Linked DNA regions of Daphnia pulex. The protein of the gene in region 1 purifies or fractionates together with the protein of each later gene. This does not show direct contact. Links are inferred from orthologs where the notes say so. Each region holds a gene or a part of one and is shown on either strand. Other genes may lie near its edges. The genes, in order: large proline-rich protein BAG6-like and ATPase ASNA1 homolog.

What was found.
Region 2: the proteins of large proline-rich protein BAG6-like (region 1) and ATPase ASNA1 homolog purify together in Homo sapiens (co-immunoprecipitation; 5 studies listed by BioGRID and IntAct, with this or other methods). This does not show direct contact. The link is inferred for Daphnia pulex from reciprocal best matches to the Homo sapiens genes BAG6 and GET3.

The regions. Positions count from the first base shown.
Region 1 is NC_060023.1:11,632,587-11,644,539, forward strand, and holds large proline-rich protein BAG6-like, read right to left. Parts: upstream 9,017-11,953; 5' UTR 8,751-9,016; coding exon 8,682-8,750; intron 8,613-8,681; coding exon 8,495-8,612; intron 8,426-8,494; coding exon 8,273-8,425; intron 8,211-8,272; coding exon 7,982-8,210; intron 7,923-7,981; coding exon 7,481-7,922; intron 7,419-7,480; coding exon 6,537-7,418; intron 6,469-6,536; coding exon 6,214-6,468; intron 6,139-6,213; coding exon 5,941-6,138; intron 5,877-5,940; coding exon 5,777-5,876; intron 5,719-5,776; coding exon 5,588-5,718; intron 5,524-5,587; coding exon 5,050-5,523; intron 4,972-5,049; coding exon 4,815-4,971; intron 4,742-4,814; coding exon 4,536-4,741; 3' UTR 4,533-4,535; exon of another isoform or gene 4,360-4,532; 3' UTR 3,952-4,359; downstream 1-3,951. Other genes in the region: transcriptional adapter 1-like, read left to right, coding at 9,331-9,398, 9,458-9,494, 9,554-9,841, 9,909-10,267, 10,338-10,503, 10,570-10,653; WD repeat-containing protein 5, read right to left, coding at 10,888-10,988, 11,083-11,170, 11,230-11,310, 11,381-11,531, 11,610-11,749, 11,812-11,901. UniProt on the Homo sapiens protein: ATP-independent molecular chaperone preventing the aggregation of misfolded and hydrophobic patches-containing proteins.
Region 2 is NC_060021.1:8,077,462-8,090,591, reverse strand, and holds ATPase ASNA1 homolog, read left to right. Parts: upstream 1-4,278; 5' UTR 4,279-5,551; coding exon 5,552-5,676; intron 5,677-5,747; coding exon 5,748-5,895; intron 5,896-5,960; coding exon 5,961-6,112; intron 6,113-6,185; coding exon 6,186-6,336; intron 6,337-6,400; coding exon 6,401-6,508; intron 6,509-6,574; coding exon 6,575-6,784; intron 6,785-6,852; coding exon 6,853-6,975; 3' UTR 6,976-7,147; downstream 7,148-13,130. Other genes in the region: uncharacterized protein LOC124194159, read right to left, coding at 1-4, 381-478, 547-681, 749-850, 910-1,010, 1,076-1,139, 1,202-1,342; U3 small nucleolar ribonucleoprotein protein IMP3-like, read right to left, coding at 1,644-1,667, 1,731-1,803, 1,871-2,077, 2,136-2,243, 2,307-2,443; transcription factor VBP-like, read right to left, coding at 3,290-3,412, 3,493-3,561, 3,620-4,108; zinc finger X-linked protein ZXDB-like, read right to left, coding at 7,277-7,471, 7,533-7,873, 7,932-8,115, 8,175-8,399, 8,459-8,605, 8,667-8,756, 8,818-9,462; uncharacterized protein LOC124194154, read left to right, coding at 9,966-10,010, 10,067-10,124, 10,212-10,315, 10,374-10,593, 10,670-10,916, 10,972-11,110, 11,171-11,357, 11,422-12,027 and 2 more.

The DNA.
Region 1 (11,953 bases):
AAAGTCAGCGACCGTCAATTGGGTCGCCACTAGATGGCACTGACTTTCGTGAATGTTTTACGAAAACACACAACAATCTCTCTCGGGACGAGAAAAAAACCTTAAAAATTCCATCGACAATTTATTAAAAAGAAAAACGAAAAGATGTCCACACTTACGTAATAATGGCGGCCGACCATGACCAATTCCACGAAGTGTTGAATTTCAAATAATTAAAAAACACAACCACACACGTTGTTATTGTCGAAATCTCCAATTCAATTATTTCGCACTGGACACACACTGGCAAAATGATAGACAAACCACACTGGTTTAATAACCAAAAATTCTACGGTTCAAATAGTTGAATGAATCAAACGAAACACCACACTCGATCAAGAAGAACTTGAACTGTGAACACGGTGGCAGACGACGAGCGACTGAGTGCCAACGCATGCGCCGATAATATTCTCGTCTCGTCTAATCTTTTTTTTTTCTTTTATTCACGTGTTTGTCGGTCGGAGGAAGAAAAACGAATAGACACACACACACAGCAGAGACTCACCCTTGGAAACAGCTGAGAGAGAGTAGTAGTGCACATATCTCTTCTCAATGTGAGATATTCTCTTTTTCTTCTGGTGAATTGGACGAAAAAGAAACGAATTTAGAACGGAGGAAAAAGAAAGAAAATGGTGGTGGTGGCGCTAGTATCGCGTCAAGGTCAAAGCACCGTGAGCCTCTGCACGACTCTGCCCCACTGATCAAATGAGACTCGATTCATCATCACGACCTTGGTTGTTGTTTTAACAATTTGGTTTTTCTTTCATGGCGTCACAAAGTCTCTCCAGAATAGAAATCTAACGGTTTTCTATCTTTTAAGTTTCCCAAATAATGGCTGTGGAGCCTCTCTCAAATTACTTTTCACACATTCGATCAACCACTGTGTGTGCACTTGCAGCACTAGGGATCAAGGAATTTCGGACAAAAATTGTATTCAGGTTGCCCCTAGCGACACATCCAACACTCGTCAAAAGTTTGCAATTACTTTGGTAACACGAAATTTCACTTGGACATTCCCCCAGAATAATTTGGTAGTTTTTGATTCAATCGAATTGTATTCGATTGATAGTTGAATGTATTGTTTTTTTTAACAACCGGGGGCCGGTACAGACGAACAGAACAGAACACACACACAGCAGAGTGCAACGACCTCTCGTTCGGGTTTGCCTCTAGTTTCTATTTTGCCTTTGCTCTACTCTCCCCCCCACCCTCCCTCTCAATCGACCCCACTGATCCCCCCCCCCTCCCAAAAAAAGAGGAGGAGAAATAAAAAAAGAACACGCGGGTTCCGAACCGGAAAGAACCCGCGACACCACCTAGCGGCCGAATACTTTTATATTTAAATTTTTATTTTTAAAAAATAATTTGAGAAATGAGAACAAAATGTCGTGCTAAAATTCAACATTGTTTATTTCTAATGTTTAAATTTATTTTTTAAAACGACGGCCATTTTGTTTAGATTCTGCGTAGTAATCCAGATTTCGTGCGTGCACTTGTGCGTAGTTTGGTGTAGTGCATGTACATAATGGAAAAGAATAAAGAGAAGGAAAGTTTAATACGCAGAGGTAGACGACCCCGACGTCTAAAAATGACGTCACGGCATCGATCGACGAGAGACGCCTCGACGTCGGTTGACTTTCCCGACTGGAAGAGAAAAAATACCGAAACACAAAATTTCGGCTATGACGAAATTGACACACACGACGACGAGAAAAATTAAATCCCCGACCTCAAAAATAAAAAAGGACGTCTAACACAAGTTCTTTTTGGCTATAGGCGTGATTCATTGCTGGCTGTATATATGCACACACCGTGATTCGGCAATGAAGTCGAAGAAAGAAAAAAGAGAAAAGAAACAAAACAAAACCGAAAATGGCGCACGGCCATGACTAGTTTTTTTCATCCCGCGCCGACACTGCACGGCAAAGAGTTGAACGTCCTGCTAACCCACTTTCTCCTGTGTACACACCGACGTGTTGGATGCAGTCAGCTGTTTCTTTTTCAGTTGCCCTTTAAATATGGCGAAACTCTAAAGGGGAGTAACTCTACTACTAGTCGGTAAAAGGTATTCATGATGAATTTGTTCTCTTGGCAGACAACTGAATAAAAATCATGGCCGCCGACCTCCATTGTTCAATTCCGGTCTGTCCAGTTTTTTTCTCAGCAGACACATTTATGGGCATCAACGGGACACTAAAGAATTCGTATACGTTGAATCATTTTTTTTTTCTAGGACACACACTCAATTATTATTATTTCAATTTTTTGGCAAATCATTGGCCATCCAGCAACCAGGTCAACCAAGAATGAAAGAATTTGATCGAGCAGAAATTCGTCTCTGAAGCGAAGGAAATGTTTATTCTAATGGCGAACAATAAATTTCCTTTTAATGAACTTTGTGCGTCTAGGTTAATGGAACAAAGTTCACTATTCCAAATTGGCGTTTCCAGTTTGTTGCTGCTCCAAATGGCGTTCTGAACGCTCGTTTCACGACTTTGAAGATTCAGGTTTCTCTCTCTTTTTTTTATCGTCTGCTATCCCCCACGCGTTCTTTCTCTTCTCCCGTGTTATTTTTTCACGCAACCGGATTTTCATTCGAGCGGCAGCAGGTGAACGCACTCTCTCGGCTGGTGGCTGTCAGCAAAGAGACATGGCCGTCCCCCCCCCCCACACAACTCTACACATTGCCGAGCTTATTGTACTCGACTCTATATGCACGAAACTCGTTTCGACGATCTGCGGTAATCAAACAATTTTTACACAACACCCATCGTCCGACCTACTTCTCCCATTCCGACTATCGTTGTCTACCATCCCCATACACACACACACGAACCAGTTAAGATTTTAAATGAAAAACGTCATAACTCTTAATTCAATTAAGATATTTAAAAAAAACTTGGCTTTAATTCGATGCAGATGTGGCCTTGATTGTCCCAATCATCGACCAAATTCACTTACATTTCTACATCATTCCGAATGAATTTCGATAATTGAAAAAGAGTAGACGCTGCTGCTCTCAAGGACTCCCGACCACAATCATCATCTAATAACAAACAAAAAAGTTGAAACGAATTATCATCTCCCTATAAAATACAACCAGCAGTTGATCAAAACAACATAAATCGAAATGAAGGCCGTAAATGACATGAAAAATAATACCCGGAAGATTTCTCTCTATAGCTCTTTTTAGACAACAGTAGCAAAAGTTGTTTACCAATGCAATTGTGTGTGAATTCCCTGGAAGTTGCTGCATCGTGGTGGAAAGCGCTAAGCGGATAGAAAGTTTTCTTTCCCTTTTTTTTACGAATTTGTTATTATTGTTGTACTACTACTGTCATGTGTGTGTGGGTGTATGGGGTTTTTTAAAACACTTTCTACACTGGCGGAATCCGTCGAGGTCGCTGTCCTCTTGCCGCTTTTTAGCTGCTGCACATTCTCAAGCTATTTTCGACATTTCCGAATTTTCTATCGAAAAAAAATCATAACCTTGGCCGGAACTGAAGAAAACTGATCCCTTTCGGATGGAGCACATGAATTCAATAATGAATAACATACGGGAGTCATCCAAGACATCCCAAGGTTTTTCCATAGGAAATTCAATTAAAAGTTAGAGAAATCTTTCCCTCCATCAAACGATATCAATCGGCCATGAATCGATCGCCTTTGATGACTTTTGCCGATGCTGCTGGGAAGACCTTCTTTTCCATCACTTCCGTCATGACCTCCCAAAGTCAAGTGTGTCAACAAACCCTGCCGGTGTCTCTCTTCTTTAATCAAAGCCATTCCTCCTACATGTCAAAAGGGAAAACCAAATTGTGTGTGTTGAGTTTTCTTCAATCCTAGTTTTTTTTTGAAGAACATTTAGTTTCAAAATGAAATAATCAGCGCCACCTAGTGGTGAAAAATAGCTAAACAAAAAAAGAAATCTTTATTCAATCAATCATCTATCAATTTCCGTGTTAGGCAGACAAAAAAAAAAACAATCCAAATTGCAAAGAAAATTGTCTTTGTTTATGGTGGGTATGCCATCAAGCGAAAAGGGGAAAAAAAGTTTGTTGATGGCCATTGACGGGAAAATGTAGGGAAATCAAAATATTGATGACACTCGCACAACTTTCCAACATTTGGTTGATTTTTATCTTTTACAAGAAAAACAAAATTTAGGAAGAGGGAACCACTAAATCAAAAAGCTGATGGGCGGAAAACAAACGGATAAACAATGAGAGGGAAAAAAATGAAGAAAAGTTATTACTTTTTTTTATATCAGATGATGATGATTCGATCGAAGTCAATTAGGATCGAAATCGCCCACTCCACCTACATCGAATTTGAACAAATGAAAAACACATGGCGACTCAATAGAAGAAGAAGAAGGGAAAAAAAAACATGAAAAATGGCCGATTAATTAATTATATGGGGGTAGAGAATAGGGCAGGGTGGAGGCGATTCTTTGTTGTTTTTGTTTTATTATTATTATTATTATTATTTACTCTTTAAGTGTTTCCGTGAAAGTATCGCTCTGCGTTAGGGAAACGTTCGGCATCGAAATCGGCGTCCGTGTCCAGCCTGGCGTTGCCCAAACGGCGGATTTCCGGCAAAAGGGCGCTGCCCACTTCGACATTGGCAGTGGCCACATTCGTTACTTCACCAACGGCGGCCGACGAGACGTTGGCAGAACGCAGGGCGCGTTCCATCGTTTCTAACATTTCAGAAATTAAAAAAAAAAAGGGTTTTACAAACGTTGTATAAAATATGATGAATGAATTAATTACCCTGGAGGAGCAACTGAGGATTTGTGTTGGGTCGATTGCCTTCGGCCAACTTGCGTCGCTTATTGGGAATTCCGGCCAGGTAGGCGTCACTGAGCGGCACATTTGGCGGAGCTCGATTTTGACGTTGGATATCACGGGCAATCACCGGTACCCATTCCTGTCAGAAAATTGTATTTAAAAACAAAATTAATTAAAAATTTGGGTGGAATGAAAAACGATTTCTAAAAATTCTGACCCGTGGGACTTCGTTGTGCCACGACTGAGAGCCCATGACGACGTCAATGACCGGCTCTGGAGGTTTCACTTGGCTGGATTCCTTTTGACGAACATCTTGGCGGAGTTTCTCTAGTCGACTAAGTCTTGCGGGCTGTGCAGAAACTGGTGCGGATGCTGCTTCTTCCGTCTTCTCTTCTACCACATCCATCGGTTCTTCTTCAACTGGTGCCGTCGATCCAGTAGCCACTGGGGGAACAGACTCGGGAGCAACGACGGTCGCTGCGGCCGGTGAATTTGTGTCGGTCATCTCTTCCACTTCTGCATTGAAAAGGGCAGTCCAGGTCCTTCCGCGTTCCGTGTTCATCACCATGGGCTCAATAGTTGGCGTCAGTTGATCCAAATCGACGGAAGCCAAAAGTGAACGAAGACGTTCGATCGACGAATTTGTCGTCCACTCTTGGACTGCTGGATGAACTCCATCCGATACTCCACGCTACATTTTAATAACAAAACAATTAGCGCCTCAATTCATTATAATAATTCATTTAATATCCTACCAACTGAGATAGGAAAACGCGTTCAAGACTAGTGGAACCATCGGTGAAACAATTGAGGGCTAAAGCTGCAGCGAGTATTAAAGTCCGGCGGATTTTATCCATCATCAGTTGGCCGAAATTCGGATTTTCACCTTAAACAAAACAGAAAAGTCAATCAGCTATCAACGTCAAGTACAAGTTCAATAATACCTGGCATTCCAATTAACTGGATGACTTCGTGAAGACACTGCTGGATGAATTGGGCCATGGTAGCGACGAAATCCACATCGGGACGAATGCTGGCCTCGGCCTAAAACCAGACAATTTAGTCAATACTTGAAATGAAAAATGTAATAATAATAATCGTGTCCTACGGCAGCACTCTGGAGTAAGGGCATGGCTTGATTGACCAGTGTCATGATGCCCTGTCGGACGGAAGGGTCTGAAAAGTCACCACCGGAAGGTAAGACTCGTTGACGAGCGAAATTCCTCAAATGATCTCTCATCTGGTTCAAAGCCTCCGGCATTCCGTAAAATAGGGCCATCAAATCACGGAATGTCATGTGATCCGCCTTTTTAGTCAAAAAATAAAGGTCAGCTGTTAGTTTTTGAATGGATCGTTTCATCATCGTCAAGGTAAATTTCACCATAGTCATAAAGAGGTCAAAGAGGAACGACTCGCCGGCCGTGTAAGTGAAATCAGGAATGTTGCGTAAGAAATGGGCCACCGTGTTGGGCGACTGATGGCCACTCACCACACCCGCAACTTCTTGCATGACTCCCTGGAGCAAACTACTAAACAAGGCGTTGGTTAACACTGGATTAGGGCTGCTGGATCCATCTCCACCACTCGTTCCACCTGCTACTACCCCGCCTGATAGTACACCGCTATTGGCCGTCACCTGAATTTCCATTTAATGACCAATCATTATCAATGTTTTCCTCTCGCAATTTTCAATGCCGCAATTACCTGACGAAACATTTCGTTCATAAATTCGTCGACGGAGGCCGGAACGGCTGTCGGTTGATTTCCAGGGCCTGGTGGACGGGTTTGATTGAGACCGGGAAAAGCTTGTGCCGCCGACGTGGAAGTGACAACCACTGGGCGTGGTCTGGCTCGCTCAGTGTCGGGTCTGGATGAAGACGAGCGGGTAACATGTCGAGAATGACACGGTAAAAAGTCGTCAAATTCGCCCAAAGATGTTGGTGATTGCCCACGAGACGCTTGTTGATCTTCCTGTTGATTGTTGTTCGAGCGAACTTCCATAAAGAGCGACATTGGATGCATTTGACCACCTAAATTGACAGGGGTCCAGCCTCCTTGACTCGCCATGGCTAAAGGCAAACGTCCAAACGGGTGCGGTCCTCCCCTGACCAGCATTTCAGGGTGCAGCATTTGGACTGAGGCTCTTGGAGCTGGGGGATTCTGCGCCGATGCATTAGCTACACCCGTTCCGGTCGTTCCAGCAGCCCGCCAACCATGAAATGTCGGATTTGTAGTTGGAGGAACTGATGGATTGGCAGCAGTAGCTGCAGTGGGTGGGCGGGTAACGTGTCGGATGAACTCATGAGGAGATATTCTTGTGGGCAATCGCGGAGGAGCTTGCGCTGGTTGCGGTTGAGGAGCTGTAGCGGCCTCAGGAGCTGCTGGGTTAGCCTGTGTCTGAGGAGCTCGGTGGGTATGTGTAGTCTCGACGCTGATTGAAGCGTGAATGGGTATGGTCGATGAAAGAACTTGTTGGTAGACGTAGGGTCTAGCACGGACTTCACGAGGAGGGGGAGTTCCAAAGTCAACCATTAAATCGCTCATGGCGTGAAAAGCGTGGGCCAAAAAGTGCAATCCTTCGGCTACCTTTTGGATCAAAAATCAATTGAAAAACATGGAAAGGAAAATATAATATGATTTTACTGAACCTGGTTGTAGGTGTGTTGTGCTTGCCGGTATTCAGGTGATGTGCTGTCCAATACGGGATCATCTCTGAGGAGCTGACGGACGGTTGTCAAATGAGGGCGAAGATCCTGCTGGATCCGTTCCATATCTTCGATGACATCGGCAAAGACAGACACTCGAGGATTTCGAATTTGCTGTTGTCGAGGTTGTTGGTCACCAGGAGGAGCTGCAGCTGACGACGGAGCTGACGAAGGAGCCGACGAAGGAGTTGCAGATGGGGTGGTTGAAGGAGGAGTTGTTGAAGGGGGTGTTGTTGAAGTCGGAGCTGTAGGACTTACGCGTTCGCTCGCGCCACTGCCACTCTCTGGTGGATTATTTGGTTGAGGCCCTTGCACCCGAAAACCAAACGATCCTTGAACTGCTGGTGATCCATTAGGTCCTTGCAACACGGCAATATTGTTTGCCCTGATAAAAAGAAACGTAACTAACATTTTTAGTTTTTTAGTTTGGAGGTTTGTCATTACCCCAAGGATTGAACAGTTGAAAATGCAGCAGCTATAGCAGTGGCAGCCTGTGCTTGAACCATTTGTATGGATGAGTAGGGTCCCTCAGCAGTATTATCCATTGTAAAGAGTGAACCAGTGCTGGGAACTGAACTGATCCTTCCCAAACTCTGTGAGGCATCCTCCAGCATGTGTCTGGCTGTATTCAAACGCAACAGAGAACTACTTCCGGCTGGAGCTGGTACTGAACCTTCATTTGATCGTAAACATTGTTATTGAGATTTCTACTTTTAATAATGATGAGAAATTTACCAAATGAATGATTGGCACCATTTTGAAACCCTCTGTCTAGGTGGTAGTGAATGTTTCCTGGTCTAGATCCTTGAGTTCTTGGTGGTCCTGAAGGAGGATTACCAACTGTTGGAGGTGCTCTCTGGACCAAGTGAATGACTTTTCCACTCAGGTCTGTAAAACACAAAAACATTTACATGCCAATCATTTGTTTTGAGCTAGGAAAGAGTATTTTCAATTTACCATATTCACTGAGCTTTTTGTCATCTTGAAGAACTCTGCCACAGTAAATCAAACGCTGAGTCTCTGCTGGTGTTCCTACATCCCCAGCAATGTGTTCTTTAAGTTCCTTGACTGTGAGCTGCAAAACAGAAATCCAGTTAGTTTCCCCTATCTAAAACTCACGAGTCGTTTCTTTTAATGGTCTTACCTCCTCTGAAACTGTGAATTTATGATTACGCGAATCGAGGGTTTTGACGGTAACTTCAATATTTGCCATTTTTGTTTAGCTTTCACCACCTCGAGTTCCAACCTCGCTGTAGTTTGGTGACGATACAGACACACTAATAATAATTATTCGGTTTCAGTATTTTTTATTTTACCGATCTAACCGGACGGCTCTGAACCGACGTCAGTTGTGTAATGGGTGTCGAAATGTAAATCTCTAACGTGGAAAACTGGAAATCGGGCCTGTAATAATACACGATAACAAATAGAGGCGCAACTGTCTCCACATCGAATCGACACGACACGACACAGCCGACAATTCATAGGCTTACGAACCAAGTTGTGTTACAACGCCACCTATTTCTCTTGGTTTTAAACCGTAAAAGAGGAATTCACTTCAATTTCATGATAATTTGTACATTTTACGAACAAGATTTTATCTAATTTTACACGTTATATTTATCAATGACAAATTCAAGGAAAAAATTATTTTATGAAAATCAATTCCTGGAATGAGCACCATCTTTTGGTGGTTTTCGATAGTCGAGGCAAGACAGGTGTAGACGAAATCCAATGGCGAGTTAAATCTAAAAAAGTGAGCGAAGCAGTTCAAAAGTCAGAACACAACAACAATGAATGCACTTGATGTTAACGAAGCCAGGAAACGGTTGGTGGATGTTTTGGGAGATTCTTCTAAGAAGTAAATAAATCAGATTTGATATTTGTGGTGGTATATCTCTAATATCATGTTTTATTTAGTTATTTTGCCCACCTGAAATCGTGGTTTTGTATGAGGGTAAGAAATGTTTCTTTTATACTATCCATTCAGTCATAACTGACATTCTCTCTATTTAGACAAGCAAAGAAGAGTTTGATCGCCAAGCCAGATTGTACCTGAAAGTAGACCAAGTTCATCTTCACAATGAGTTTCTTTTGGCCATTGTTACAAAATGTCAAAGCTTGTGCCAGCCTTCAACCTATGTCTATCATGGTGTGAAGCAAAAGCCAATTGTTGTCACTGAAGTGAACAAAATCAGACCACATACCATTCCTCTACAGAAACGTAATTCTGTTGAAATCAAACCGATCACTGTGACAAGACAAGTTTACCCAAAGAACAAGCCTCTCACTGTCAACTTTGATGTAATATGTCTTAATTATTGGAATTTTCATTGGAGACCTTGATTAACATAATTCTTTTCTTATCTAGAATCGATTCCAACCAGTGAATCCAGTTTCTCTGTTACCATTTTCTGCTCCTTGCACTGTAGAGAAACCACAGCTTCGTTACTGCAGCCAGGATCTAATTTTACCTGACGCTGGACTCGTTCACGGTCGAATGCTAGTAGCAGCTTGGGATGCTGGTTTGGATCATGGTTGTGAAGACAAAGCCATCAAACTGATACTGGCAGCTACCAAGCAATTTCTTAAAGAACTGATAATTGCTATCATAACAAACCGGAAAGGGTACCGCCTTCGAGAGAACAAAGTCATCTATTCGGTTGGCCAACCTACAATTAATCCGTGGCTACACAATTCATGGTCCATCCAAGACAGTACCAGTAACAGGTAAATATTTATTGTACAGTCCTATTCTTTTTCAACAACAATGTTTCTAAGTGTTCTCATTTTAAATCAGTTATCTGACCGAAATTTCGCAAGCTGCGGAACCACCTCACGTTCCTGCCATACCCCAAACATCTCAGAAAGCAGAGCGGGATTCCGCATTCTACCTAGCGTGCACTACCGAACAAGTTACCGCACTTCAACCGATTTCCGTTCTTGACGTTTTTCAAACTTTACAAGTAAGTCGATATTTAATTTCAAAACTTCAAACTAATCCTCATGTTTCTTTATTGAATAAACAATAGGTTAAAAAGGGCGTCATTCCCTGGCACACAGTGCACGCCGTCAATATGGAACGCATTTCACAGCGCCTCTATCACCCCAATTAAACTCGAATCTACTTGCTTAAAGAAATTATAACGATTAAAAAAAAAGATGTTTGTATTGTCGACGAGGAGGCCATGAGAAGTCAAGAATGCCAGGAAACTTTTTTATACCAAGAAATTGCATTTTTTTTTCCTCAAAATTCTCCTATAAAGTACACACCTCAAAACTGCTTTTCATCGTCTTTTTTCCCATTATTTTTTGTTGTTGGTTCATTGCGACAAAGCTAAATGCGCGGTCTACGTGTCGGAACGCCAGAGCTTGATAGTCTTATCGTTCTCCAATGCAGCAGATGCGATGATATTATCGGTCGGATGGCATGCAGTACACAGCACGACATCTAGAATGAAACATGAAGGGATATAAGTTCGCGTGTGACGTCTAGACAAATTAAATGTGAAAGAAGGAGCAGGTCCCCCGGTAGGAAGCCTTACCGGTGTGTCCTTGAAGTTTCTGAACAATTTCCTTCGTTTGCAAGTTCCAAATATAAACCATGTTGTCTTCAGAGCCGGAAACGATCCACTGCAGAAAGAAAAACATGTTCAAGTAAAAGAATGAAACGTGGATTGTTAAAGCAGTACTTTTCCTCCAGTAACCGAAAAATTGGCAAAGATGCAATATTTCTCGTTTTTGTGGCCGGTGTAGGTTTTCAAGCATTTGCCCTGAAACGAGCCAAAGAAAAAAGAATGGTAAAATCTGCAAAAATCTTTAGAGTTGAATTCATGATGACACCTTGGAATAGTCCCACAACTTCAGTGTGTTGTCGAGAGTTGCAGCCAGGATGTATTTTCCGTTGGGTGAAAATTTGACAAACGAGACGGGAGGATTGTCATCATCGATCAGCGTTTTTAGGCACTGGCCGGAAGCCGTGTCCCAGATGCGGCTGTAAACAAGTGATCAACACCACCAATCGATAAAATTAAGAGGTCGAATTTATTTAGTAAAATGAACACGATTATACCAAAGGCCATCGTAGCTTGACGAAACGATAAGAGATCCGTCCCGGTTAAAATGAACCGCTGATACGGGATCTGAATGGGCAGGAAGGGTTTTCAAACATTTTCCGGTTTTGACGTCCCAGATGCGCACACTCTCGTCAAACTGCAAACAATTCAAAAAGGTCAATAGCCTATTTTAAAGAAGGCGAGTGGTTGAAAACTTACTGAGCCTGAGACAATCAAGTTGGATTGGGGATTGAAATTGCAACAGAAAACATAATTGCTGTGTCCTTTTAATGTCTTCAAACATTTCCCCTATAAGAACATACATGAATTAGAGATGAGCTAACATCACAAATAAATGGTT
Region 2 (13,130 bases), on another chromosome or scaffold:
ACATCTGAGAACAACAAAATAAATAAAGAAACAAGAATTTAAACAAAAAAAATTCAATGCATCACTATATTTGTAACGTAATAAATATCCTTGACGTCACAAATAAATGTGTGTACAAACAAATCGATAAATTTTGTTTGTTTTGTTTTTATCTTAAGAATAAAGTCAACCTTCGTTCCATAACCAGTTCCCACCGCCTCATTCACACACACACACCCAAAAATAAAAAATACAAACTAAAATATAGTGGCTGCAAACTCTTTTAGATTGTCTACGTCTAGAGAACTGACCAGTCTGGCGAGATTTGCATACACCCAAAAAATATCCCTGTATACATTATATAAGAGAGCCACAAAAAAAAACGAGAAAGTAGTATATACCGACAAATAGACTGATTCCATTTGAAGCCGTTTTGCTCGCACGTATGGGCCTCGCTCCTGTTGGGGCACTCGCAACGACAGTTGTTTTTAGAGTAGATCTAGGATACGAATGTAATTTATTCAGTGTCAACTGGTAAAAATAAATCTTTGATTGATATTTTTTTACCGCAGGCTTGTGGCAATCTTTCGGCTTAATCAGACAACCGCATTTACAACTGACGTGTTCCTCGACTTCCATCTGCATACATGTTGTCGAACGATTTTCCTTCGTTTTCGGGGCGGGCTCTTTAAGTGCGTAAACCTGAAATTATACAACAAAAAATTAAATAGAATGCGCACCAAGATAAGGGGAGAAAAAAACGACTTACCGAAAGTTTTCGCATCTGAGTTGTTGATGGTAGACAATGTTGGGCTGAACTGCTACATTTACTATAATTACATCGCATGACTTCTACATGACTCGGTTCGATCTGGTGTAAAATTCATCAAGTCAGGATGATTTTTAGTTTTAATTGGAGAATTATTTTACCTTGAAACCTTCAAATTTTTCTAAGGCGACAACATAAAGACGCGGTTTGCATTTTGCATTCCTGTTTTCGGCAGCAATTGCTTTGGCGTCACAAGTAGCAGCTGAATTTTACAGTAAAACACATTTTATATCACTCCATTATAAAATTGGGAGAATAATAAAATACACAAACTCTTATTTGCTTTTGGATCAAGAGTTCTCATTTTACGGTCCCAATGGTCTTGGAAAACCTTGACAATTTAGTGAAACGTATTACAATTTCATATAAACGTAATAAATGCATGAGCATTACCTCGTTAAAGAATTCAGTTTGGTAATTCCGCAATGTACTTTTCGATTGCCTGTTGAATTTTTTGGATCTAAAAGGTAATCCTGAATAAACTAGATGAATGAATATTAAGCAAACAAAAATGAAGGACATATTGGCAGCCATGTTTCCTTGACACTTGTGATTCAATCAAAAGTGAATGGAAAACTGTATAAATTTTCCGGTTAAGGGTTAGTAATAACCTACCGTGTCGATGAATGTTTGAGCCTTTAAGATTAACCGTGGTTTTCCCCCCCTTTGAAGCACTACGGAAACCCCATTAACCTCAGAGGAGAAGTTTGAACTAGAATGTATACTTATCTAACTCAATGAATTAATTTTATTCTAAAAATGACAGGAAATGAGCGATATTTAGTAGATAGAAAACGGGATGTATTTCCATACAAGTTGCATTTCGTCAAACAAGTCAAGCCATATTGAAATCATCTCTCTGAAATAGAAGGAATGAAATTGATTAATTTCTTTAAAAAATTGCAATAATGATCATTATTACCATCTCGTTGTATTCCATAATATGTTTCTTAATAGCTGAGGAGTCTACCCAGGTCACAAAATCCTCCATATTTCTAATTCATAAAAAAAGTAACTGAGTCATTTATATGCAATCAATAATTGAAAAGTTTTAATAAGTACCTGGTAACAAGAAATGCTGGGTCTTTTACCACTTCAGGACCAACTCTGACATGTCCTTGTTCCACAAATGTAGTTGCAGTTTTGATGGAATCTGCCATCTTTGCCCTAACCATGACCACAGGAAGTCTTCTTCGACAGAAGCAGGATGCTGTTATTTTGGAAACAAGATCAAGGGACCACTTGGTTGGAATTAAACCCATGGAATATCTAAATTTAAGATAACAGTCAAGTAACCTTCAGAAATTATATGAAAACAAAATTGTACAGTTTTTCCAAAAGAGCAGCGCTGCACTCCACTCTGAAAGGGTCTTTGGGGTCGAGCTCCTTTATCTTGTTTGCCAACTTTTTTACATGCATTACAAGTGTGCAGTACCTGCAATTAAGATACATCGTCAAAATGATTTCTTAAGAAATCTGTCATTTAAAATCCACTTACTTTGTGTAATCATCTCTTTTTTGAATTCTGTATCTTTTAAGAATTTGCACTTCATGAACATTGTTGTCAAGCTTCCAGGAGATGAAATCTACTTTTTTCAACAATTTCTGTTCATGATACTTTAGTTTTCGGACCATTCTGTTTTGTTAGTTTTTCAGACGTTGCACAGAAATCCTATGAGTTAATTCTTATAATAAAAAATCGATGAGTTTATTTCTATGACGTTGTACTCTACCTGGAACAGAGATGTGTTGCTGATTTCGAAATTAATTATTGAAGAATAAAGCTGCTAAACCTTGCAATCCCCTCGCGAAACGCACGAAAAGTTTGATACAAACTACAAACAGCAGACAAAAAAAGACAACTTGCAGACGACGGAAATCTCACACGTGTGTGGCTGCTGAATTCTCTTTAATAGTTAAACAAAGTACTAGGTGGCAGCATGCTACAATCTAATATTCGAGCCCTTCGTTCTTATTTTTAAATATTTATTATTTCAAAGTGCATCGCCAACAGCTAGCTTGTATTAAAACTAAAAATATGCGTCATATGCTTCCACGTAAATTCCTGTTTTTTCCAACATAAAAAACATTGTTAAAACATGCGACGTTTCCATTTAGGACTGATTCTGAGTTTTGACTCGAGTTTCTTGATAAAAGATGTCTTCACCAAGGACTTTGTTTAATGTATTCAACATGTGGGTAACTGTGTAATATTTAAAAAAAAATCAAGGACGGATGGTCATGATTGAAAGATTGTCGACAAGAGAAAAACTGATTTCTATTTCGTTTATTTTTGGCACTGTGAAGCTTAGTCGGTTGATAGCAGACGAGCACGTCTAAAAAAGAAATGATAAATAAAAGACGTGATGGATTGAAACCGAAAGAGAAATCAGTTAAACAGGAGGGATTAGCATTGGTAAATATAAAGGTAAAAACAATAACGTGGACAAAGTTCTTGTTTGTTCTCCCCACAACGTAAGCTCAACTGGTGGCAGCTTGACTACGGAGAATGGCGGAAGCGTTCTTGTGCAATAACATTTGCTTCAAGGCGAATGCTTCGTCTCTCAAAGTGGCCACTTGAGCTCTCAAGACCGAATTCTCCTTCTGTCAAATTACAAAATAAAAAACACTCAAATTGAAGTATGAATAACCAGTGAAATTGTTTACTAGATATTAAATCCTACCTCAAGGAAATTGGCGCGAACTGTAACTTGATCCTCACGGTTTTTCCGCATGTCTCGAGATCTCTTAGCCTTCAGAAAAAGATAATTTTAAAATTCTGTAATTTGGAAATTTTTATAGATCACTTACTGCAAGATTATTCCGACGTCGGCGTTCAAAATATTTGCCATCCTTCAAATCATCGGGAATAGGTTTCTTCTCACTCCTCGGCCTTCTCGTGGTGGCCGAGGCCAAGGCTTTGGCAACCAGGTGAGAAGGATCAGCAGGTGAGGCCGGACTTGTTGCATCTGATTGATTAAGATGGTCAGACTTGTTTTGTTGCGCCATCAGATCCCGCTGGAAGGAGAAAGCAGCCGCCATAGCATGCATTAGCTGTGATGAGTCAGGATGATGTTGATACGATGGCGGAATCGGCGAATCTTCACGTTGGTGATGACTGCGACTAGACAAATCAGCGGGCGATTCATCGTCGGCCGACGATGACGAGCTGGTAACTTCACTTCTTTCGTCGTTTAACGACATGCTTAAGTTCACGGGAACGTTGGCACCAACACCTTGACTATTAAAAATGGCCTGTTGGAGTAACGCATTCAAGATCGAGTTCTTAGTCTCCATCATCAAATGAGCACTTCTAACCGAGTCGATAACACTCGAGTAACTGACGACGATGATTTCGATACTGTAGTAAGATCAAGAGGACGACCATGAAATGTATCGACGAGTCGATGACATGACCTTCTTCCAACGAACTGGCCAACTGGGCTTAAGTTGTTTTAAGTCATCGACCTACTCCCCCAACAGTAGTCTCCATACTATTTTCTATTAACACGTTTCATCCCTTTACTTTATTCAAGGTCATCGTCGTCAATATTGGGTGGCACAGTGGTGTGGGATAGGGTCATCTATATATGGGTGAAATGACCTCACAAGAGATAAATGACCTCGAATGACTGAGGCTTTAGAACCTGACCCATATTTTCTATTCAGCTAAAAAGGGATAGTCTCATATCCCCAACGGCCGAGACCAACATACGTTTTGACCTGCAAGTGACCTTTTCTTCTTTCATTCTATACTGCCTCTGTGTCAAGAGACGTCATTTGAAATTCATTAGATTTTTGCGCGTTCTGTTAGCAAAAGTGAATTTTTGAAAATTCTTGAGCCTGAACATTGTGCTTGGAAACCTAAAATCACTTCACAGTAAGAAAATGATGCGATTTCCTGACGTTTTACAAGTTGAATAACCTCTTGTCATTACTGTCGTCGTTACTGTCGTTGATAGTTAAGTATCAACGACCTGCATTTAGATGTGTATTCGCATAGTCAGGCCTCTCCAGGGAAAAACGTCTGCAGTCCCAAAGCAAAAGGCCACAAATGGGGGAATATTCAGTTCTGAGAATCCACGTGCGTTGTGCACTAGCATTTTAAACCCTCCTACTTTTTTATCCGGAAGCTTTTTTTTTCTTTTAACATACCAACAGTCCTTTTAACTTAACCTCCAGGCATTTTCATAGATTTTTCATCGCTACCATTAGTTATCTTGCTGGAGTTGTTGTATACGTAATGGCCCCATGGGGGAAAACGATATTGCATAACAAGATTTACGGAGACAGTAGATTTATGTTTTTGTGGTTTACTTAATTTGTTATTGTGTTATATAAACTCAGAATTTTCTATTTATTAGCACTAGCAGGAGCAGCACCATATCCGCCCATCTAATATCCAATCATATCTAATAACTCGCAAACCCTGCTTCCGTTCGTCAACTTCCAAAGCAGTAAACACAATGTAACCCTTTATCTCTTTAATGAACATACTTTGATGTCATAACATTATTTTATATTATATGTATTGGGTATGGTGTCTTTTAATCAATAATTTGAAATATCCGCCCAAAAAGGAATGACGCCAGATTTATAAAATAAAATGACAAATGCCAATGTGTCAAATATGTATTGTGTCGTCTGCAACAAAATCCATTCACTAGTCCATTCGTGTGCTTTCTCACTAATCATTAAAACAATATTTACCGTCTGTTATTTCAAGGTCTGATAATACGTCTAATGGCGTCTAATATCGAAGAAGATTTTCTTCAGCTTGATCCGACACTTAACAATGTTATTGAGCAATCCACTTTGAAATGGATCTTTGTCGGTGGTAAAGGAGGTGTAGGCAAGACAACCTGCAGGTATAATGATTTTCTTTTGACATTTTGAAATTTTCGTAATAAATTTTATTTTCTGAATTTTGAAATTATAGTTGCAGCCTTTCTGTACAGCTGGCCCGTGTTCGTGATACTGTACTTATCATTTCTACTGATCCAGCTCATAACATATCAGATGCTTTTGATCAGAAGTTTAGCAAAGTTCCTACTAAAGTGAAAGGGTTTGAGAATTTATTTGCAATGGTAAAATGTTTTCATCTGTCAGTCTTATTATTAGTTTTATTATCTAATTTGATTTATTTTGTTAGGAAATTGACCCAAATGTTGGCTTTAATGAATTACCAGATGATTATTTTGAAGGAGAAAACAACTTTTGGAGAGCCAACCGTGGATTAATGCAAGAAATATTTGGTGCATTTCCTGGTATCGATGAAGCTATGAGCTATGTTGAAGTTATGAAGTATGAGAAATCTGGTCTAGATCTTGAACCATTTAAAAAAGTGTTTTTCTAATTTAATATTTTGTGCTTAAAGGTTAGTACAAGGAATGAACTTCTCTGTAGTGGTCTTTGATACAGCTCCAACTGGACATACTTTGCGTTTGCTTGCATTTCCTTCTGTTGTAGAGAAAGGGCTCAGTAAACTTTTGCGTCTCAAGTCGCAAATTGGGCCATTTGTCTCACAAGTAAGTTTTTAAGAACAAATATTGTTTGACCTTGATTACTAAACTAATTTATTGATTCTTGCAGATATCAGGTCTTATTGGCATGAGCAATGTTAATACAGACATATTTTCTAATCGTTTAGAGGAAATGCTACCAATTATTCAGCAAATAAATGAACAGTTCAAAGATCCTGTAATTTAAACAAATTACTTGTTGTTTGTTGTTTAAGAATTTAACCAACATAATTTTTTTCTATAGAATCGAACTACCTTCGTTTGCGTTTGCATTGCAGAGTTTTTGTCACTATACGAAACAGAACGTCTGGTTCAAGAGCTTTCCAAGTCAAATATTGACACACACAACATTATTGTTAATCAGCTATTATTAGACGCCCCAATAACATCAACTGGAGAAACGTGCGGACTATGCGGTGCTCGCAAGAAACTTCAAGCTAAATATCTTGATCAGGTTTTTTTCAATTATTGTCATATTGGTGAGGGGTTCTATTAATTGAATTTATTATTTGTCCGCTACAGATTGCCGACTTATATGAGGACTTCCACGTCACACGTTTACCCTTGCTAGATCGTGAAGTTCGTGGCGTCGAGCAAGTAAAGAAGTTTTCGGAGAACTTGCTGAAGCCTTACTCCCCAAAATAAAGATATGTATTTGTTAAGTGTGAGTTTTTTCATTATTATGAAAACCCATTATTGGTTCAAATATTTTGTAATTGTACTTCAGCATTTCATCCAGGAGAACCAATTTATTTTCCGATTTACTTTACCCTTTTCAATACGAAGTCAATAGCAACACAACAGCATTAATAGACAATCGAGTATATATTCATTTCAATAGTTTGTGAAGAGACGAAAATTGCCCTTGTGTTATAAGATATGCGCAAAAAAAAATGCAAAATGTGCATACCCAATGAAATATTGGATTTACAAGAGGAAGGACGAATTATTCCAAATCCCGCATGTTAATCGTCGACTGACTAAATTCGGAACATTCCTCACCAGTTTTCACGGGACTTGTTTGCCAACTCCAAACAATGTGGGCGTGACCAGTTGAACTTGTACTGGCCTCATGGCTTCCACCACCGGTATGAAGTAAGACGCAGACATTTGAATCTCCATTTGATCCCGGTCCAGCATCCTAATAAATTTTAATCATAATTATTACCATATCTCACAAAAAGAAACATTTTTATTTCTACCTGTAAACTGTCTGTCGGAACAGCGAGGAAAGTGACGACCGAGCGGTCTGCAGACATCTGTTCCTCGTCGTCTCCCAATAGCAATGCGATGTAGTCATTTTGAATCGGCTGATCAATTACTTTAATCAGTTCCGGAGGTTCCGTTGGAGAAACGGTAGCGGTGCATGGAGTAGAACGGTTACCGTGACATCGAACCATGTGTTTCCTCAGATTGGATTTGCCGGAATACTGTTTATTGCAACCGGGGTGCTCGCAAGGGAAGGTAAGATTGGCAGTATCAACATTATGTCTTTTGGCATGGACATATAAGGTACTCCTCGCTGTAAATTCCGCACCACAATCTACAAGTACGCAATGTTAATTGCGCTATTTAATTTTATAAAAATAAAATAAACTTACTTTCAACAGGACAACGAAACATTTTCATTCCGCGGTGTTGACTAAGAAGATGCTGCTTCAGATGTTCTGATCTCAAGTAAGCTTTATGACATTCCTGGTGTGGACATTTGAATGGTCGTTCATTCTTGTGAGTCCGCTGATGTCGGCTAAGCTTGCTTGGCGTTCGGAAAGCCCATCCACAGCCCTGTGATGAATTAAACAATGAATCCTTCCTAACCTTTGAACACCAAATACTTAACTCACCTCAAAATGACATACAAAAGGACGATCTCCCGTATGGGTTCTAAGATGTGATTCCAGATGAGATGGCCTGTCAAAAGATCGGGAACAACCTTCCCACTGGCACATTAATGGACCCACACGCGTATGACTACGAAGGTGAGTGGTCAGGGCGTTTAAAGAATGGAATCGTTTTCCGCAATTACAGTGATGACAAGCATACGGTGCTTCAACTTCTCGATGTTGCTCCTGTATTCGAAGAAAGACTGTGTTTGTTTTACATAAGCAGTATTTTTAGTTTGTTTTACCTTTAAATGGTTATCTAACTCTCTCTGAGTTTGAAATTCTGAACTGCACTGCTCAATTGAACATGAGTATATATTTGGTCGATCGTGAAGCTTTTTGTGTGAATTTAAGTTGTACAACGTAGTAAACTTCCTTCGGCAAACAGTACACTGAAATAATAGACGAAGAAAATCATTATCAATTGATTGTGCAAACCTTCAGCTATCTTACAGCAAAGTCTTTTTTCCCTTGATGACACTCTTTGTGGCGTTTCAACTTGTATTCTGAGAAGAATGACCAAGAGCAACCTTCAGCATCACACTAGAAAGGCAAATGAATAAATCACATAGCAAAGAATTTGAACAAGATTATTTGATCATACCTTAAATTGTCTGATTCCAACATGGGTCATAATGTGACTTTTGGCCATAAATAATTTAGAAAAACCTTTTGAGCATTCTTCAAATGGGCAGAGGTACAATGTTTCATTTTCATGAAGAACCACAATTGGTTTGGGAATTTTTTCACTGTGTACTTCATTAACTGAATCTGAAGGACCACTTTCCACCTTGGATTGTTGACTCTCTTTCTCACTATCTGATTCCAGAGCACTTACCTTCATGGACTCAAGTTCATGTGGTGTTAACAACATAATCTTTTCTTCAACAATATCAATGACTTTTGACTGTAGAGACATTAGGTTCTCTCTTTCATCCTGATGTAAAATGTTTGGAGTGTCCCGGACTTCCTCAAAGAGAATAGTCTCCTCAGTCGACAAAACAGCTGTTTCTTCATGAGAAGTGTTGAAACACTTGTCATCTAACTGCACTTCAAGCTCAATAATATTTGGAACTCCTTCTTCATCAGTTGTCAAAAGTTCTAATGGCAATTTTTCTCCCAAACAGTGAGAAAAATCGTTGGAGATAACAAGCGCATCAGGCGCTGATCTAATTTCGCTAGACAATCCGATCTGGTCGTACTCCATGCTGCTGGCAAGCTCATTATCTGTTTTAAACCACCTTTCCATTTTCAAACAATGCGCATCGATCAAATAATGAAAATTGAACAACAAATTTAGACAGAGATTTCAACTTCGCCACAAAAGAAAAAAAAATTAGTAAGAATGACAAACTAAACAGCGTTGCCAGGTTGAAGAAATCGATTTTACTCTTGAGATAATATTATTGTTCGTTTCACTGCGGTTCAACCTTTTATGAGTAAAATAAATAAATGAAAGTGTAGTAGATTAAAAAATGAGCGTAAAGGATGCTTCCATTTTCTTAATTACTTTTTAAAGGAATTTAACCTGACAATGGATCCATTCCAGTTTCCAGATGCCGCTAGTAGACGCCCCACAAAATAATGTAGTCTATTGCGCAACAGTGCAACACATTTCAGACTTTCAGTTCGGTACCAGCCTTTGGAGTATCGAGAACGTTTTTGTGGCGCATTTAAATTCTGAATTTGACTAATTTCTAGTGTTCTATGATTTTCTTTTGGGAAGTTTGTGGGTCATAAAAACTCATAATAATGGCAACAAATAGAACTGAAGAAGATACTTTCGGAGAACTAATAGTAAGTGTGTTATTTTCATTCCAAATCACCCATTATCTAAAAGTCTTTTGTCTCAGAAAACATTTTTAAAGGAGTTCACTGAGGGGAAATTCAGTTTCAATTCAAACAACGATGGTAATAAGTTAATTGGCAGTTGAATGAACTGAAGTCAGTTATCAATATGTTGCATTTTCCAATATCAAATGTCTTTTGTGTTCACAGAGTGTGAAGCCACATTGAATATGTCCACACATTTGTTTGCTGGTCTGAGAACTTCCCAACAAGAGAGGAATGATGGTCTAATGTTGAAGAGCTTAAAATACTTGGTATGTACATACATTTTTGTATTTATACAGCACATTTTAATTGATGTCGCTTTCACAGATGGAAAATAATCAAGTAAGCCGGCAGTTTACCTCGAACATGTTACCCACCCTGCTCACTAAACATAAGGATAGTCTATGTTTTTATCTGTTGTTCCAAAAACTGAAGGATCTTCTTCTTCAGTCACAAACAGTGAATGAGTTGTTTTTAGTGAACACTGTATTATTGCTTCAGGAGAAAAAGTATGGCCCAGCTCTTGCTGAATCACAAAAGTTCACAGGTGTTTTTTTTTTTTTAACTTTAAGTAGAGTTAAAAAGAATTAATTGTTAATTTCATTTGTGTCCCTGATTCTTAGCCAAAGAACACCGAGCTAGTGGTTACGAGTCTCAAGCTGCAGCTGCGTCTGCCTTACTTGCCGGCTATGAAACAACTCTTGATTTCCCATGTTTTGAAGAAAACATACAAGTACTTAAGGAGACGAAGATAACATTGGCATTGATGTTTGCTAAACATCCCTGGATGATTCCTACTTTTCTGGAAGCTTATACCTCCATTCTTTCCAAGTTGAATGCTCACGATGAAATTGAATTGTTCTTACGGGAGTAATTTCATTTCTGTTTTCTCGATACGTTCGTTTTCTAATCTGTATTCTTATAGATACGTTGAAAATGATGGCGGAATTGTGAGCGCTATTCTTGCTCTGGAAATAATGAAAGTGTATATTCCCAACGGCACTAAAGGATTAAACATTCACTTTCTTGAGAAGATAGCGGAGATCGACCAAGCGAATTCTAAGGTTTTAAATTTTTCCCTACACTTGTAAGATAATGTCTAAATGTAATCCTTTTATATTTAGGTCTTGGATTTGTGCAAACTTTATTTGCAGTCCGAATTCGAAAGAGACATCAGTCAGGACCGTCTTAAGAAGTGCCTCAAGCTCATGTTTGATTTTCTAGATGCGTATGCCTATCGCACACCGTCTGACGTTGTCAAAGAAGGATGGAATGTAATGGCAAATCTGATGAACAAGATTTGTTTGCAAGGTTTGAAGTTTAATGTCCTAATATTTTGCCTATTACTATATTACGATTTTGTTTCAATTTACAGGAACCGATGTTTGTCTGGAAGCTGTCATTAATGCTTGGCATCATGACAGAAAGAGGTGGTGGCCATTTTTCCGTTTTTCCAAGTTTCCGTCTCCTCTTCCATCTGGTTACGGAGAATTTCTTTCTGATATGGCTACTGTATGTCTGATTTTGGAGTCTCAAGACCACCCTTTCGTAGTTAGCGTTATAAATCTTCCGGAATGCTCCTCATTTCAATCGGTCGTCATGCATCGTTTGTCAGTGTTTCGCGACGTGAAGATGAATTTTGATTCGAAGATTAATGCCCTGATAACGTCAATTCCATTACCAATCTTGCCGCCTTTTGCGTTGGTCTCCGAACCAACTCAAATGGAAGTGAGTGGTGATCAAACAATTTCTGGGAGAGCCAGCACAGATGATACGGAGCAGTTAGCTCTGCAGTTTAGTAATCTGCTTTTAAAATCAAAACCCATCAAAAAGAAAACGGAATCCAAGTCTTGCGCTAAAATTCGACGAGCTACTACTGCGAATCTGAAGAAGCCCATCAAAGAATTGATTGCCGTGAAAACAGCGCCAAGGTCCAAAATGAGGAAAAATCAGCGTCGTAAAACCAACTCGCCAAAACCTGGTTAGTTATCTGATTAATTGTGTCGTGTAATTTTCAAACACTAATGGCTTTTCTCTTCTGAATAAGTAGCCGAGGGAAAGGAGAATGTTTTGAAGAAAGTTGGCAAAAGAGTTAAAACGGGAATGTCCATCGATGGTACTTTCAAAATTTAATCTTAAGAGAATAGACACCATAAAATCATTATTTTCTTGTATATAGGAGCTCATCCACTCATCCAAGGGCCATCGAAAAAGCCCAAAAAGGAGTTTTAATTCATCGTCTCCTCTGCGCTTTCCTTCTCGTAGAATCAGCTACCACTTCTAGCGTTCCAGTAGATTTCCGGTTCTAAATTACTCCTTCCTTCTTATAACTAGTGGAGAACTCATCAGTATAAGTTGAATTCCATACTGCCCATTAGTAAGACTGTTACTTGTACAGCTGACTGCGTCGTAAATTAATTTCATCCCCGTCTGTTTCTCATATCATATCTACTCATCTCATTTCGGCTTAAAGATTTATTGAATATAATAAAATTTTCTAATTGAACAACAGTTTTGAAATTGATTACAGTTTTGTGATCCCCATATTTTACTTAGTAGGTTTTTTTTTTTTCATTTGATTTCCTGTGACTTATTGGCAATGAAACGAGATAAAAGTTGAGAACGCACGCGAGAGTTTTTAGCATCATCAAGGCAGATGAGTAGAGAGTAGCTACTATGTCATAGTTTCCCATCTCGATAGTTGAGGTGCTATTCTAGATTATATCCGGTGTAGTTCCGGTACAAAATTAAAAGGTTTGTCCATTGAGACACTAGATGGCGAATGATGTTATTGACTTCTCTTTCTCAACTCAATCAGTGCTATGTCAATTTCGAAAGTTACGTTTGCTTGTACGGGTCAAGTTTTAACTCCAAATGTCATGTAGGTAAATCCTAGGTACAAGTGTTTAACCACCATATTGTAACCACTATAGTTCATCTTGACCCATCTCTGTATTTTTTAAAATTCTAATGGATAATGATAATGGGCTGCTTTCCAAGTTCTACATCAAGTTGATGAATATCTGCTATACTGACCACAATAACAGCTACTATCCCCCAGCTTGATGTCCTAAAAGCTGTGGA